2 linked regions of the Astyanax mexicanus genome follow. The protein of the gene in region 2 purifies or fractionates together with the protein of the main gene of each other region. This does not show direct contact. Links are inferred from orthologs where the notes say so. Each region holds a gene or a part of one and is shown on either strand. Other genes may lie near its edges. The genes, in order: pidd1 and casp2.

Region 1 (8,184 bases), on a different chromosome or scaffold from region 2:
ACAGAGCGGGGTCAACAGATGCTGAGATGCATAATGCACTGAGGTCAAGAACTTTTCATGTGGCCTTTAGATCATCTTACCTAGTATGTAGAGAGCTTTGCATGGAATGGGTTTTCATGGCTGAACATTCAAGTCTTACATCACCAAGTGCAATGCAAGTGTTGGATGCTGTGGTGCAAAGCACGCCACCCCTGGACTCCAGATCAGTGGAGATGTGTTCTCTGGAGTGACAAGTCACCCTTCTCTGTCTGGCAATCTGATGGATGAGTGTAGGTATGGCGGTTGCCAGGAGAACAGTATTGTCTGACTGCATTGGGCCAAGTATAAAGTTTGGTGGAGGGAGATTATGGTACTCGGCCCATTAGTTCCAGTACAGGACACTATAAACAGTTTAGGGATGGCCCTTTCTTATTCCAACTTAACTGGCCTGCACATAGTACTAATGGAATGTCACTCAAGTTTATATGTGTGTAACGGCATACGAGTGAATACTTTTGGCAACATAGTGTATCTCCATTTTCTCAGTATCTTTTTTAGGTAATGTGGATCTGGCAGTAGTTCTTAACATTGTGTACTACACATTGTTGATAAAAATTAAATAAAAATGCTTAAAAATGACTTAAAATAAACACTAAATAAATGACATGGACTTCCACTGAAAGACAAAAAGGTTTTTTTCTCTACTGTAAAGTAAGGAGATCTGATGTTTTGATACAATACTGATGACATATTCACTATATGACTATAATACAATTTTGCTATGGTGTTGTTGCTGGTATAGTGTATATGCTGATGTATTTCGAAACACAAGTGATATTTTCTAAGAATGTGTTGTAAATGTGCTCTGACAAAAATATTACTATCCTTTGACCTCCTTCTAGTAGGCCACATCTTGCCAGATGTGTCTCGAGGAAAAGGTTTTACCAAGTATATTTGAGAGGTCAATCAATGGGCATCATAAGGGGGTAAGGCATTTTAGCTCATTTACTCTATATCTCACTTTAAGTTAAACACATTTCTCACATATGTAATCTGCAGTAGTTTTGTTTTTCTTCTCTTGTGGACCACCTGATTATGATTAATAGTCTTGCTTTTCATTTTCCATGTCAGGCACACCCAGTTCATAATGCTATCATCAGACAGCTCCAGTGAAAATAAAATTCTTTGGATTCTTAGGTGATGATAACTGCATCCGCTGCTGCTTCTTCTCTTCCCCCAGAAGAAAAGTAACGGTATCAGGAAAATATGCTGTCAGTCTCTGGGGCAGGACGAATCTCTGAGCACAGCAGCTGGGGCATGCAAACGGAACAAAACAATAACACAACATGTCCAGGCAAGGAATAATAACAACCGAAACACCAGCAGTTATGTGCAGTAATGTCTGAATGATCCTGTGTTTCTAATATTACTCTTTTCCTCTTGGACTACATGGCACTGCCACTGGTGATTCATCGCCAATAACTCTTATGATCTAAGACAGGTTCTAAATATGGTTCTAAGCTGGAGTTGGGAGAATGGTGTGTTTCTGAGCGCAAAAGTAGGCTAATCTGAGACTACATTACATCATAGGGATTTTCTTTTCAAAAGGGTTTTTAATCATATTAGTCTTATAAGAGGAATCACTGAACAGCACCCAGTTACAATAGGACTTGACTAATGACCTACAATAGGCTGCCTTGGCAAATGACGCCGTTTAGAAGTTTACGTAATATCATTATTTTACATTATTATATATGATTATATGGTAGTAACATAACACAGGAAGATGATACATCCTGAGCCTCAGCCAGGATGTATTATTGTTCACTCAACAAACAACACCAACAACAATTTAATACTGGCTTAACAATGATCCAAAAGCACAGAATAACTCTTGTGTTCATGGTCCATTACTTTAGCTGCTGATAAGTATTTAGCTATTGTCATTAGTTATTAGCATTTTATTCCAATAAAAGGCCAGATTACTCAGCTTCAATTCAGACATGACAAAAGTAATTTGATTCTTTTAAAAAAGTAATTCAGTTCTTTTGCAAATGTAAAATCAAAAATATTCAAATCTTTTTTTAAAGGTGATTTGAATCACTGTTTAAAAAACATTCTGGTCTTTCCATTGATGCAAATATTTTTATTTGATTATTTTTTTATATTTATTCCTTTTAATTTGATATTTAATATGGCATCTCAGGATAATAATCTCGAGATAATTAAATACATAAAAAATACAATAAAAAAATCTCGGCTGCATTACCTGCTCTAGCATTTAGATGTCATCAAAACACTATTCAGTATAATCAATTTTTTAAACTGGGTCCCCAAGGCAAAGTGGTCCCTAGAGAAGAGGGTCATTTAAAATGTGTTTTAAAGGAGCAATTTGTAGAAAATTATGGAGGACCAAATCTGCCAAAATAAATAAATAAATAAAATCGTATGTAAATCACTTAATAAAAGTAATGTGGTGATTAAAACTGTAAAGAATAATTGTAAATAATATAAAAATAAATACATATACCTAAAAATAAATATCTTAATAAATTGTTTTTTATTCATGTTTATGTTTATTTATTTACATAATTTCTGCATTCATTCATTTCCTGGATAATTTATTTCTGTATTCATATATTCGGTATACTCATAATCAGACACCACAAGTCTGCTTCTCCATTGTCACTGATTGCAGGTCACGTTAGCACCTGTAGCATAACATGTTCATATGAAATATCGATATAAAATCACCTGTAGTCAAGTGATATTTCATCTATATGTCCTGTGGGCGTGTTACAGTAGCATTTTTTACAGTAAAAAATAAATAAAAATGTGTCTCTAAAGACTACAAGTGATTTTAGATTGATCGCTGCAGCGATTCCTGCTATTTTCAGCAAATTTCCTCGGAGAAAGGGAAAAGTTGGGTGTTTTGAGAAAATCTAGTGTTTGTAGTTTGTTCTCTGTTCCTCTGTCATTTGAAAGATATCATTTGAGAGAGTTTAGGAGGTTGCATGCGAGCAAGAGAACGTCCGAAACGCGAATCTCCGCTTAATGTCGAACAATAAATTAACTTTACCAAGCTGTTAATTTAATGCCATATAACCAAGTGTTTACCTGCGTTAATCCTGTTATTTACAAATATTTTAAAACATTTTTTTTTACCAATATTCACAAAATATCATGTACTGAAAATTTCAAAGGTATATTAGGCAAGCTGTAAGCATAAGTCTTCCTAAAATCTGACTTTCTGTAATTTGCTTCCGCACAGTCACTGGTTGTTTACCAATAAAAGGAAAAAAAAAAAAAAACACATATACTTGGGGGTTAGATCTGAATATTGAAGCTCAGACTGGACTGAGATGTTCAAGTCTGAACACAACCTGCAGATTATCCTCAATTTATTTCACCAATTCTCACTCATTCTTATTATTTTCTAACCAATTCTCACTATTATCTTAATACTTTTTATTCATTTTTGTCATTTCTCTCTATGTCTTTTTCAGGGTATTTTTCAGAGGAGGAGCTGCTAGACTACCTGGACTGACTGGATGAGCACCACCCTGACATTGTTGTTTTCAGTACCCTGGCTTTGGTGTTCCTCTGTCCATCCTTACCATTCCAAGGACCGGATGGCTTTTATCAGTGCAAATAATGTGAGAAGACTCCAGGAGCAAATAGTAAATAGTACTCAGGCAGAGAGCATAAAACGTACACATCAAGTTAAAATCAATAAGTTAGTGAACACGGAGCTTACTTTTTCATGTAAATCAGCTTTATCAACTAATCAACTTTAAAATGCACACAAACTTTTTGTCATTTTAAAATTAGAATTAAATATTTTAGTTAATTAGCATTAAAAATCCATATTTAATTTTAGAATATCTTGATGTCCTGATTTCCTCTTGCCACCATTGTAAATAGGCCTCACTGATTACAGTAATCTTGGACACTAAGGCCTGTATAACACTCACTTTAGCAGCCTTAAAAAACAGAAAAGATCATTATTTGTGAATATAAAAAAAAAAAAAATATATATATATATATATATATATATATATATATATATATATATATATATATTATTTATATATATTTATATATATATATATTTGTAATGTTAAGTTATTATAGTTAGTGTCTCACTGCTGCATTTTGGTTAAAACTGATGAAAGTTAACATGGTCTGTAAACATTCAAGCTCATTGAGTACAATAATAAAATATATTTGTTACTGTGTTCTGGTAACCCAGGACACTATCAGCGTTTTTTCCCACGTAGCTTGTTTTTAACACCGCAAAAACGCACACTACAGTCGCCTGAATGGCGAAAGAGCAATAGGTGCAGTTAGTGGCTAATGCTGCTGCACCCAGCCTTAGTGATGGAGGAAGTTTACTGAAAACTCACCCTTATATTGCTGTCTATAGTGCTGAGTGGCTTTACTGTTTCTGACTGGTAGAATTCATAAATAAGGTGCATCATTTTTTGGGACAATTAAAGGATTTTAAGATTTGCCTTGTAGTCCGAAAAATACGTGTTTCACACTAGTAGCTGGTTAGTATTTTTGGTTACTGAAGTTAAAGGAGAACTCCGGTGTAAAATTGGTCATTATCAGTACAGTGACGGTGGCGCCCGGTGATTAGCTAACGCTACGAGTTGTAAACAGTGGTTTTTAATAAGCTTCTTGAACACTTTTAATGTTATTAATGCCTCATTTTGTATGTCAGGGCTCTCTGGGTACTACCAATGAGGTGTGGAGCTACTTTTAGACAGGATAACGGTGTAAAGAGCAATTAATCAGGGCAAAATATGCCCCGATACTGCCGTGCTGGGCATAAAGCACAAAATTACTGAAATATCAGAAAGCTGTAGGAGAATAGAGGTGTGCTATTCAACAAAGGTTAGTAAGTTAAGTTACTCTTTATCATGTTTTACTACACCATTTGCTTTAGTGGTCATTATGGAAGGTTCTTAAAACAATATTAAAACAACCTGTGTGTGTGTGTGTACTGTGTACTGTGTACTGTCTCTTTAAGGAGCTGTGTCCCGCCTCGTCCTGAAAGTTCCGCGGTGGTTATGATTCTGAGTGGCGGGTGAAATATGGGGAGCACTGTTTTGACAAGGAAGTAACTTAACTAATGTTAGTTTAACAGCCTATCTTCACCACGTTCAGCTTCATTTGGCAGATTAACGCGTCTTTGGGCTGATATATTTAACGCTATATTTACTGGAGGCGGAGAAAAACCCCTACAATCTCGGAGAGGTGAGTGTTTACCGGTTATTTACACAGCTAACCGGCTAAAGCTTAGCAGGAAAGTTTTCTATCTGAAAGCTGCTGGGAAGCTAACTCATCTAAACTAGCATGGGTTAACTGTGTTCAGCACAGGCCAGTGTGGGTGTGTGTTCTGCAGTTACCTAGCCAGTTAGCAGACTGGGCTGTTTAAAAACTTCTACACTCTCTGCTGTAACTAACTAACTTAAATGTGATTAATATTAACAGCCTACTGTCAGTGTATGACAGCTCTCCATCTAGCTAGCTGGTAAGCTTAGTTTGAAAACAAGGCAGTGATTAGTTGTCTATAATTAACAGTGTCACTGTAGGCCTGGGAAATGAGCAGAGGTGCTGTTTGAGTTAAAATAGAAATAAAGCTACCATTTTGACATCTGCTTGTCTTAAGGTAAATAATCTCTGGTATCATTCTTAGTTCAGCAGTCTTTTAACAGAATGTCATTCATTAGTCTGACAGTGCTGTCTAGTAAAATTATCATTAACACAAAACACTGAAGACAAAGAACCACGTTGTTGTATATAATTACCTGCAGACAAGCAGATGTTTTATTTACTTTACTTTACTTAATAAAAGCTGTTTTAAACACAGGTTCATAAATTAGTTTTTATTTACTGCTGTTCTATTTCATACTTTCTGCAGACATAGGGCATTCCCAAATTGTACCCTGTTGTATTGATGTTAAATTGTGTGATTGCACTGGATCCCTACTTCACTGTATGAAAGTGTTCACTGTATATTGATTGATGTGCTTGTGTAGTGCTACTTTTGTGTTGATATGATAAATGTTTATGCATACTGGGCCAGCAGTAACGACTTTTACTCCTTAAGGTTTTGCATTATGTGGAGTAAAAAGTACGATAAATCCTATTTTTTTTCACAATGTGAGTTTTCAGGATTAAATTAGAAGGGGTGCAGTAGCATTGTAAATAACAGAAAACCCAAACTTCATTACCTGCAGACACCAGCAGAGGGGGCTCTTCATCCTGCAGACTGTTATCACGTAACCTCACTAGTCTGAGGGAGAGTTCATCAGTGGGCGACATTGCTGTAAAGTACTATCACAATATTTTAGGCTATTTTTTTTAACAGTATTCTTGGCGCATTGATATATTTAAAGTATATATTACATCAACAAAATAAATATTAAAGTTTTATTTATAAATATTAGAGTATAAATATTAGAGTTAGGTGTGAAGAGACTCATCTCAGGAGACCAGACTGAAATGTTTACTATATAAATATTTGTTTTGGTTACATAAACCTCGCGAGACACATTCAACACCTGTCAAGGAATATCTCAAGGCAAGAGATATTGTCACACCCCTAATTAGTGTGTTTAATACTAGACTAACACAAATAAAGTAACAACAAAAACCTACCGCAAAACTAAAGTGCTGCATTTTTAGTGCGTGCATATAAACTGCAAACAAGCAATTAAAGTAAATACTGGAAATATTAAAACAATGCTAGACATAGTAACTCGCAAGAATATTGCGATATCACAATATACATTTTCTATCGTGTCAATATGTTTTGCTATATAATTGGGTACAATACAATATGACACACCCCTAGTATGCACATCAAACTACTTTATGGTCTGGGAATATGAGTGCTACAAAGTTCAGAAAGTTCAGTTTGTTTTTTAGAAAAACAAACCTAAATTATTAGGAAATTCATATAGGATCATATTTTTCAAATCAATATTAGAATTTCCATGAACATTAAGAAATTCAGATTGCAACATTACATTTTTGTCTGTTTCGTATACCCCTGGTAAAAAGTAAGATATTTGTCTTTTGATTTGATATTTGAGAGAATAAAAGGTAATTCAAAATTGACATACTTCAGTATTTAAGTATGGATACAAGCAAAAACAACTTAAGTTAAACTTCATTCTTTTATTAACTGCACTTACTGTGTTACTGTCCTTCACTGAAAATATAAAAATGTTTTTTAAATGTCCTTTAAAATGTGAACTGTTGAGCAACTGAGATTTGAGATTTATTCACAAGTCTTTCCTTTCTCCTTCACCAAAGGCAGCTTTAAAACTTATAAGGCCCACATTTGAAAAATACCCTTATCCTATGTAAGAGATTTGCTTTTAGTACAAGGTGTTGAATGGTACTTTCAGTATAGTGCACCATATGTGTAAAACCTATTTACGCTAAGAAGATTTTAATAGCTATGTTCACTGTGTGTGTATGTGTGTGGTCATGTACTGAGGCCATTGCAAATGTCTTGGAAAAAGAACTGAGAAAAAATAGTTTTCTAAAACGGGTGGGAGCTCTAATTGGTCCAGTAAGGAAACAAAAAAACATTTGAGAAGCCTCTTTCATTAGTTGCATGGCTACTAGTGTTTTCTTTTTTTTGTTTTTAACGCTTCTCAGTCTTTTCAATTTGCACCTCTCTACTGCAGAATGAGTGGCGTCTCACCCTCCATGCATGGGCTTGCCTGGGCATGGTCTTCTCAGCGTGGACCGGTTTGGTGATGTGATTGAGTGCCAGCTATGGAACTGGAGGCTGAGATGAGGTGTCACATTTATGTTGTGACACTTCTACTCTCTGCTCTCTCCTTTCTCATGCAAAGGATAAAGAACTGAAAGGAAAAAAAAGAAAGGAGAGAAAAGGATGGAGAGGGAAAGGATGGAGAGAGAGAAGACGTATGAAGAAGCCTTTACAGACCAGTATGCAGAGGATAAAGGGCGTGACGTGTCCACAGGAGAAGATCAGGGAAGAAGGGATTCTGAAAGGATTTTGGAAACAGTTGGAGTGATGACTGTGGAAACCAGGCCTGAAGACTTGAGGAGTAGGAATACTGTCCAGTCACTGGAGGTGGAGAGTAGACCTGCTTGCAGTGCAGGTCAATATACAAATGAAGTGGAAGAACTGGGAAATGATGCCAAACTGAAGAC
Region 2 (7,723 bases):
AATTCCAATTGCTCAATTTGGGCAAATGCAGTACTAGTTTGACTTAACTCTTTGTCAAACTACAATAAGATGTGATCGTATTCACCAGCTAGATCATATTTACTTCCTATTTCTATTCATGACTTCCTTTACTATTCCTGAACTTAATTCCTTAAATTCTACATCTTTGGGTGGGTTTTTAGGTGTCTATAACCCTCACCTCCTGGTTTCCCCTGTCCTTAGCAGGTGTGTTGTCCTGTGCCAATGACATTTCTCCCTCAATCTCTGTGGGTTTGTTCTGCAACCACACATGTGCAACACTCCTGTTATGACAACTTTTACTTCTGGCACTGCTAACTCTGTAAACCAGTGAGAAGCCTGTTACAGTGGGTGCCATTTACTCACCTCTCGTTCCCTGAACCTAATGAGCAGGGTGCAGAGGTGCTGCTGCTCTGTCTCTTTAAGAGCCGTGCAGAAGCTGTTGAAGGCCTGGGGGCCTCGCTTAGGCAGCAGTGACAGCAAACGCCAGCTTCGTTTATGGGACGTAGGCTCCGCCTGCAAGATTCAAGTCATGACAAGGTCAAACACTACTACTACAGTGCAGTCAACAGATATATTGCCCTGTCAAACAAGTGACTATACTGAAAAAGCAATGAAAATAACTGCAGTTGAATTTCTTTGATAAAGCACAAAACAATAAACACTGTTTTGAATGAATAGTAACTATTTGCTCCTATAAAACAGTTCCTAACACAATATGACATATTCAGCACCATTAGTTACATGCTTATTACCAGAATGGTTTCAGCCATGCCCTCTGTGAGAACATCCTCTGCCTGCAAAAACTGGATAAGTAGTTCATCCACCACCATTTCTTTACATAGTGCCACAGAGTTCTTCTTCAGTGCCAGCTTATCTCGCTCTTTCATTCCACATTCCACAAGCATGGTGCTGCTGTTCGCATGTGTAGATATATATGTGCATGAGAGAACAAAACAACATGAGATGTTAGACTGCAGCAGAACAAAAGTAACAGAGCATCACAATTCAAGAACATCTTCAATGATTTTTTGTTATTTATTTAATTTATGTTATTTATTTAATGTAGGTTATTTATTTAATTTAATTAATTTTCAAATCAGGCAATTTATTGCTAAAAACATCATATGTATTTGTTTAGGGCCCAAAGCCTCACAGGGCATGTGTAAATATGAAGAACGTTTTTTCTAATGTAATTATATTTTATGTATTTAGTTGCAATAAAACAAAAGCGTACAAAAAATACATAAACTAAAAAATACTTGAGAATTAGAATTTATGTTTTGGAATGACAAAGTCCTGATTCTAACTCTACCAAAATTCTGTGATATGAACTAAAGAGGGCTCTGCATGCAATATGTTCCAGTATTACTGATGAACTGAAACGCATTTGCAGGCAGGAATTCCAAAGTTGAGGAAATCTTATTTGCAGCTTCAAGAAACATTTCAAAGAAAGTGACTGATGCTACAGAAGAATACCTATGTTATTACATAAGTAGTTACCTTACTTTTGCCTAGCCTACACTGTGGATGTTAACTAAGTGTGTTTAATAAAAAGACAAACATGGTACAACTGAATGTATGAAATTATTAAGTAAATAAAAACAAACATAATGAAACAATTCGACATATATATTGCATAAATTAAATTACCCACTGAACACTGTACGTCAACAGCCCAGGCGGCTGAAATTTGATCAAATCACCAAAACTTTGCTCTTATGAAGACAAATAAATGTGGTTTTGTGAATATTGTGATGCATCCATACTAACTAGTTTTGCCAGAAAGTGTTTGTCTTTAACTGTGCCTTGGATAATGATCAGACTACATTTTATCAGCCCAACAACAGCAAGGTCTTGTGTATGCAACGGTATTTAGATGATATATATGGTAGAAAAAAGTACATAACAGACACATGACCAATGAAAACTTATTTTAGCTGTATTTATGAACTACATGAAGCACATTATTTACAAAATATTACTATGTGAAATGTTTGAAATTGCTTTATGAACTGTGAAGTTACCTAACTGGCTAACAGTATCTATAGCTAGAGGCCTGCTGGTTGTGATGCTTTTTGCAAGAAGTTATATTGCTAATACGCTAGGTTATCCAACAACAACAAAGAGGAACAATGCCTGTAAAGTTAGCTATCTATCTATAAGGCTATTAGCTTAGCAAACATTTCACAAGAAAGAAAAATAATATATATATAACTTACTAAAAATAGATGATTTCACAAGTTTTATCCAGGTGTTGAAAAGTTAAAAATGTTTTTTTTTAGCATGACAAAGCTAGCTCGCTTATGCAGTTAAACAAACTTACAGTTGTCGGTGTTTCCTAGTGGACTTCCAGATTAAGTTGCTGTCTTCAAACTTCAGCTGAATGTTGACCTACAGACAGAGGAGCTCTCAACACTTCACCAACAGTTTTCCCAGTCTTCTGCAGCAGACTGGATATATCTAGCTAACTCAGCTCAACAGCGTTACCTAAATAAGATAACTGAACTAACTAGGTTAGCTAGCTTATAATATTACAGCACAGTCTAGCCAAATTATAACAAATTAAGAGTAGAGAAACTGGCACACAATCGGCAGTAGACTGTTTCAATTTTGTAATAAACTGTCTGGCTAACTAAGTTAGTTAACTAGTTTACCAGCTATGTTAGCTAGCTAACTATCCCACACGCTTGGCAGTTAGCCCCTGTATGACTGATTAAAAGAGCAGCTAGCGTTAACTAGCTAGTTAAGCTAACCAGGCTAAAAACATAACGACCAGCTCGGCTTAATAACGCCATACAGTCCCGTACAACTAGTCACCAAATCCTGTCTGCAGCCCTGTGAATTAATATAATTCATACAGCTCCGTCCCCAGGCGTTTTTACCAGGAGTACAGGGAGAAAACGAGAATTTAAAAGAATAATTGACAGCCCCAGAGCTCTCCACAAGTAACTTCCGCGCCAACAAACAGCGAATGAGGAGCTGCTGCTGCTTCTTCTTGTGGGTGGACGCGCTGTACAGTGTGGTGTTACCGCCGCGCACTGGTACAGTCCGACCTTTTCAATAGATGTAGCAAAACTACAGAGACGGGGTACAGGGTACTATACAATTACAATTACCAAATGAATATTGAAAAAAATCACACAAAGTGTCCTGCAGAGTAAAAATTCAACTACACCAGCTAATGTAGCCCATATCACACAATAACCTTTATAGTCAGGGGTCATAAACAATATAAACATTGTAAAATTCACACACAGTGTCCTGCAGTGTAAAAATTAAATTACAACAGCTAATGTAGCACATACCACACAATAACCTTTATAGTCAGGGGTCATAAACAATATAAACATTGTAAAATTCACACAAAGTGTCCTGCAGAATAAAAATTAAATTACACCAGCTAATGTAGCCCATACCACACAATAACATGTATAGTCCTGCAGTGTAAAAAATTCACACAAAAAGACTTTAGGAGTTTTAAACATTATCACTTTTGCTGTGCAGGAATTACAAACAGTCCACATAATACTACACCATTCTTATATGAATGGTCTGTTCCACCTTAAAAGCGGAAGATGTTAAATTCAAAGCCCATAAAAAATATATTTAGCCTGAGACCTGTGTGTTGCCACAGCAGCATTTAAGGTGGAAGGGTAAATATAAACAATCTGAATTCTGTGTTCCTTTGATTTTAATAATGTTATAATAAGCTTGTGATGAAATCACTGATAATAAAGAGGGGATTCCCTTTAGCCCACTGTTTTCCAGTGTGGTTGTGTTCAGCCTTGCTGACATAACCAAAAACTCCTTTCAGAATGTTCCTTTGCAGTGTAACTCATATTTGAACATACTCTGGTCCAGATGAAGAGGACTTCCCACATGGTAGCACTCCGAAGCTGGACATAAATAAATAGGGTTAGAAAGAAAATGCAGAATTGCATTTTATGCTTTAATATATGAAGAGTTTATTTTGCAAAAAAATATATATAATGTATGATTAAAGAGTAGCACCTACTGTACCGTTATCTGTTCTTGCAAAATTATTATTATTTTTTTTATATTTATTGACATTGCCTCAATATATCCACTTTTCATATCCTATGTATTATAAATTATACTCGCAGCAATGTGACTGTCAGAACAACCAGAATAGAATCTAGTGCATCTAATGTCTCTGTTCCAAATATATAATGAGGTTTGAAGTTTCTAATGAAATAGCCAAATGCGGTCACAGGATGAGGCCTCAGAATCAAAGAAAAAATGAAAACAGAAACCGAAGACAAATCAATATTCAAGGTCACATAATGTGTTTTTTCTTCAGTGAGCATGAACACTATAACCCCTGTGATTCTGGCAAGGATAAAACTGACACTTGAAGTGTGTGTGTGGCGACAAATGTCAGATTTAATGTCAGATTTAGGTCACACTAAAAAGATAGAGTAGACAATCAAAATTAAAACCTTGGATCTGGGACACTTTACCTGCTGTGTGAACATACCCTAAAAAGTCTGGAGTAAACTGCCTGGGTTGTAACTGTTGGTAGACTAATAAATGACACATAAACAGCAGATAACAATCAAAAGCATTTATTTCTATTTTCATATCACAAGAAAAAACAAAGCTTGTTATTTCCACACAAAATAAACAGCAAAAGGAAAGGGCAAATATAGTCGGAGCTGACAGAACTGAAGTTCATATCTGTCTTAACTCTGATTTGAGCGCCAACTTTTTCAAATGTCAAAAAGTAATTTCTGTGGTTAAGCACAGTAGTAAGCACAGAAGGAAGTAGGGTCCAAAGCTAAGCTCCAGTAGTTTGTAATCATGTACAATTCCCAGTCCTGGTTCTGGAGAACATTTTGCAGCATTTAATGCAACAGCATGTTAACTCAGGAAGGGTTTGATATTTTACAAATTAGTTAGATCAGTTGTACTGGAATAGGAAAATAGGTGAAGGAAAAGCAGGGCTCAGGGTCCTCCAGGAAAAGGGTTGGGAACTGATACACATACATACACTAGTCAGCCAGAACATTAACACCACTTACAGGTAAACATATATTACCTTCATCTATAGTGGCATCTGTCAAGGGTGGGATATATTAGGCAGCATGTGATTAGTCCTTCTTAAAGTTGATGTGTTGACTACAAAAAGGGGCAAATATTTAGATTATAGCCATTATTACAAGAGCAGCATTTTGATGGCTGGATAACTGGGTCAAAACTTAAAATCAACAGACAGGGCTTGTGGGCTTATTCTGGTAGCAGTGAAATGGTGGACAACCAGTGAAATGGCGGCAGGGTCATGAGCACCTAAAGCTCACTGATGATCATTGATGAAGGACCCACCCAACCACAGAACACCAATTATGAGATTCTGATTTGTTGTTGCAGTACAGAGGGAAACCTACTCAATAATAGGCATGTGGTGTTAATGTTATGGCTGATATGTGTAGTCCTTACCATTGGGTAAACTAAAGGGTTTTATAAGATTTTCTTTTACCAACTGCAGTAGTTCTATATAGACCCCATAACACCCCAAAGGACCCTGTGGATGCCTGAATGTTTATTTTTCTTAATCTGATTATATTATATATATTATATTATCTGATCATATTCATCACAGTTTACACAGCTTTTAATTCACAATTAACCATTACTAAGAACACTTTAGTCCAGAAGAAGATGTTATCCCTGTTCTGGACAATGTAAAACTACATTGGTGATTTTTTGGTCACACTCCCATTAATATATCATCAGGGTTTCAGGAAGCTCCCATAAAGAGGTCTGTTTCAAGTGCAAATGTAAATGAATTGTCAAACAACTTTGGAAGTGCATTTTCCATTAGTTCATATCCAGTCTAAACAATAAAAATAAACAAAAAAAATTGTTTATCACTGTGCATCTGTGATAAACACAGTGCAGACGCAAGTTGCAGTGCATTAAGCAGATACCATGTTTTCCTTTAAATAGTGACAGCAGCTGAACTCAACAAAACTAAATAGATATTCACTCACCAACTGCAATCAGCATACAGGCCAGTCTATCTGAAACATTCACTAACCGTGCTGTTTAGCGCAAGACTAGCTGAAATGCATTTATGGAAAAAAAAGTCTATTATACTTATCACATTTTTATTAATGTTCACCGTTTACTGCATACAGTATCCATCATTAAATATTTCTTTAGGTTTATAGCGAAAGTACCTATATATTCTTCAGCAAACAAAATTTAATTCCCTCTTCCACTCCACAATGAGTTATTCTTACAAAAACATTTATAACAACAAGTCATTGATACTACAGAACATTATACTTAACTATATATATATATATATGGTCTAATAGGCTGAATGCAAAACAAACCATTTCTGTGCTTCTGTTTAGCATTTGCATTCTAATTGTTGCAGTAACAGAATGCTAAAGTAACCTTAACCTAAAACAATCTTTGTAAAATGTATCTTTCCCTTAGCAGAACACAGAAAAAAAAAACAAATGATCTGAGGTACCCCCTAATGAGACAACAAAGAAAACCTAGTGGGGCAGTACTAGGACCCAATAAGTTCATTATAAATATCAAATGCATTACTGTACTTAAATAAAACCACTTAGGCCACTAGTAAATGTATAATTTGTATGTTCTTTGGAGCTAAACTGAATGAAGAAAAATCAATAAACAAAACCCTACTTAGAAAATAATCTAAGCACAGGCTGTACATTCACACTGTGAATGTATAAAAATTTATTTTGAGAAACCAACTTTTCTGAGCTGATATTGTAATTTGAAATTCATCTGTCTGTAAGGGATTTATAGAGCAGTATAAGGAATGCTTAAAGATAAGTCATTTTGTTTTGTCTGACACATACCTAACATCCCCTGCCAAAACTTAGTCAAACCTAGGCTATTTCTACCTGACTAGATCAGATTGTCAAGGTCACATTGGAAGCAAGTGGTCATCCCTTTCCTCTGGCTCCTCTAATGGTTCAGTAGATACACCCCTGTAAGCAGGCGACTCCTCTCTCCTGCCACGGGATCGGCATACAAAGTCACATCCATCCTGTGAAAGAGAACAACAAACTCAATTAATATTTAATGCATTTCAGTCAGACAGACAGAAACAAGCTGTTCATTCAATGTTTTGCAAAACTTATGCACAGTAAGGACATTTTGGCAGAAAAGAAAACAGCAAAATAGTTGAGAAAAGGTTTTCATTCACTACAGCGAGGTGGATCATGGTTATCATGGATAAACAGTTCAGAGACACAAGGCAGGATGAGCAGTGGCCCAGGTAACAGAGGCTGAAATCTCTGTGCCACACTGACAAGATCCATTACGCCGTTTGGGAGTGCAAACATAGCAGACAGTTCTGGGAGAGCAGCACAGTGCTGTTTTTTCAGACACACCTCGTATATCACATTTTAGAATTTCCAATCACGCCCACACAAACTGATAATAAGTGAAACACCATTGCTTTACACAAGCTGACCACTTATCCGGAGTTTAGGACAGTGGTAAAATGTTTGGCATAAGCGTAAAACATGTTTGTGTGCATGCTGTATGCAATATTCTGACATTTTTACATCACTCTCGCATAAAAATCTTAAAAATCTTGGATGGAAACCCCTCTAGAAAGACAGAAAGTGAAATGGACTTACAGCTGATAAGTTGCCTATCTCAGACCAGAAGGCATAGTTTGGAAATTGCTCAA

What was found.
Region 1: the proteins of casp2 (region 2) and pidd1 purify together in Homo sapiens (affinity purification with western blotting; 5 studies listed by BioGRID and IntAct, with this or other methods). This does not show direct contact. The link is inferred for Astyanax mexicanus from reciprocal best matches to the Homo sapiens genes CASP2 and PIDD1.

Annotation. Positions count from the first base shown.
Region 1 is NC_064409.1:47,560,510-47,568,693, reverse strand, and holds the start of pidd1 (p53-induced death domain-containing protein 1), read left to right. Parts: upstream 1-5,048; 5' UTR 5,049-5,241; intron 5,242-7,688; 5' UTR 7,689-7,900; coding exon 7,901-8,184. UniProt on the Homo sapiens protein: Component of the DNA damage/stress response pathway that functions downstream of p53/TP53 and can either promote cell survival or apoptosis.
Region 2 is NC_064413.1:38,957,561-38,965,283, reverse strand, and holds the start of casp2 (caspase-2), read right to left. Parts: upstream 3,013-7,723; 5' UTR 2,345-3,012; intron 934-2,344; exon of another isoform or gene 931-933; 5' UTR 927-930; coding exon 774-926; intron 535-773; coding exon 385-534; intron 278-384; coding exon 200-277; intron 1-199. Other genes in the region: m6pr (cation-dependent mannose-6-phosphate receptor), read right to left, coding at 6,950-7,072, 7,671-7,723. UniProt on the Homo sapiens protein: Is a regulator of the cascade of caspases responsible for apoptosis execution. Might function by either activating some proteins required for cell death or inactivating proteins necessary for cell survival.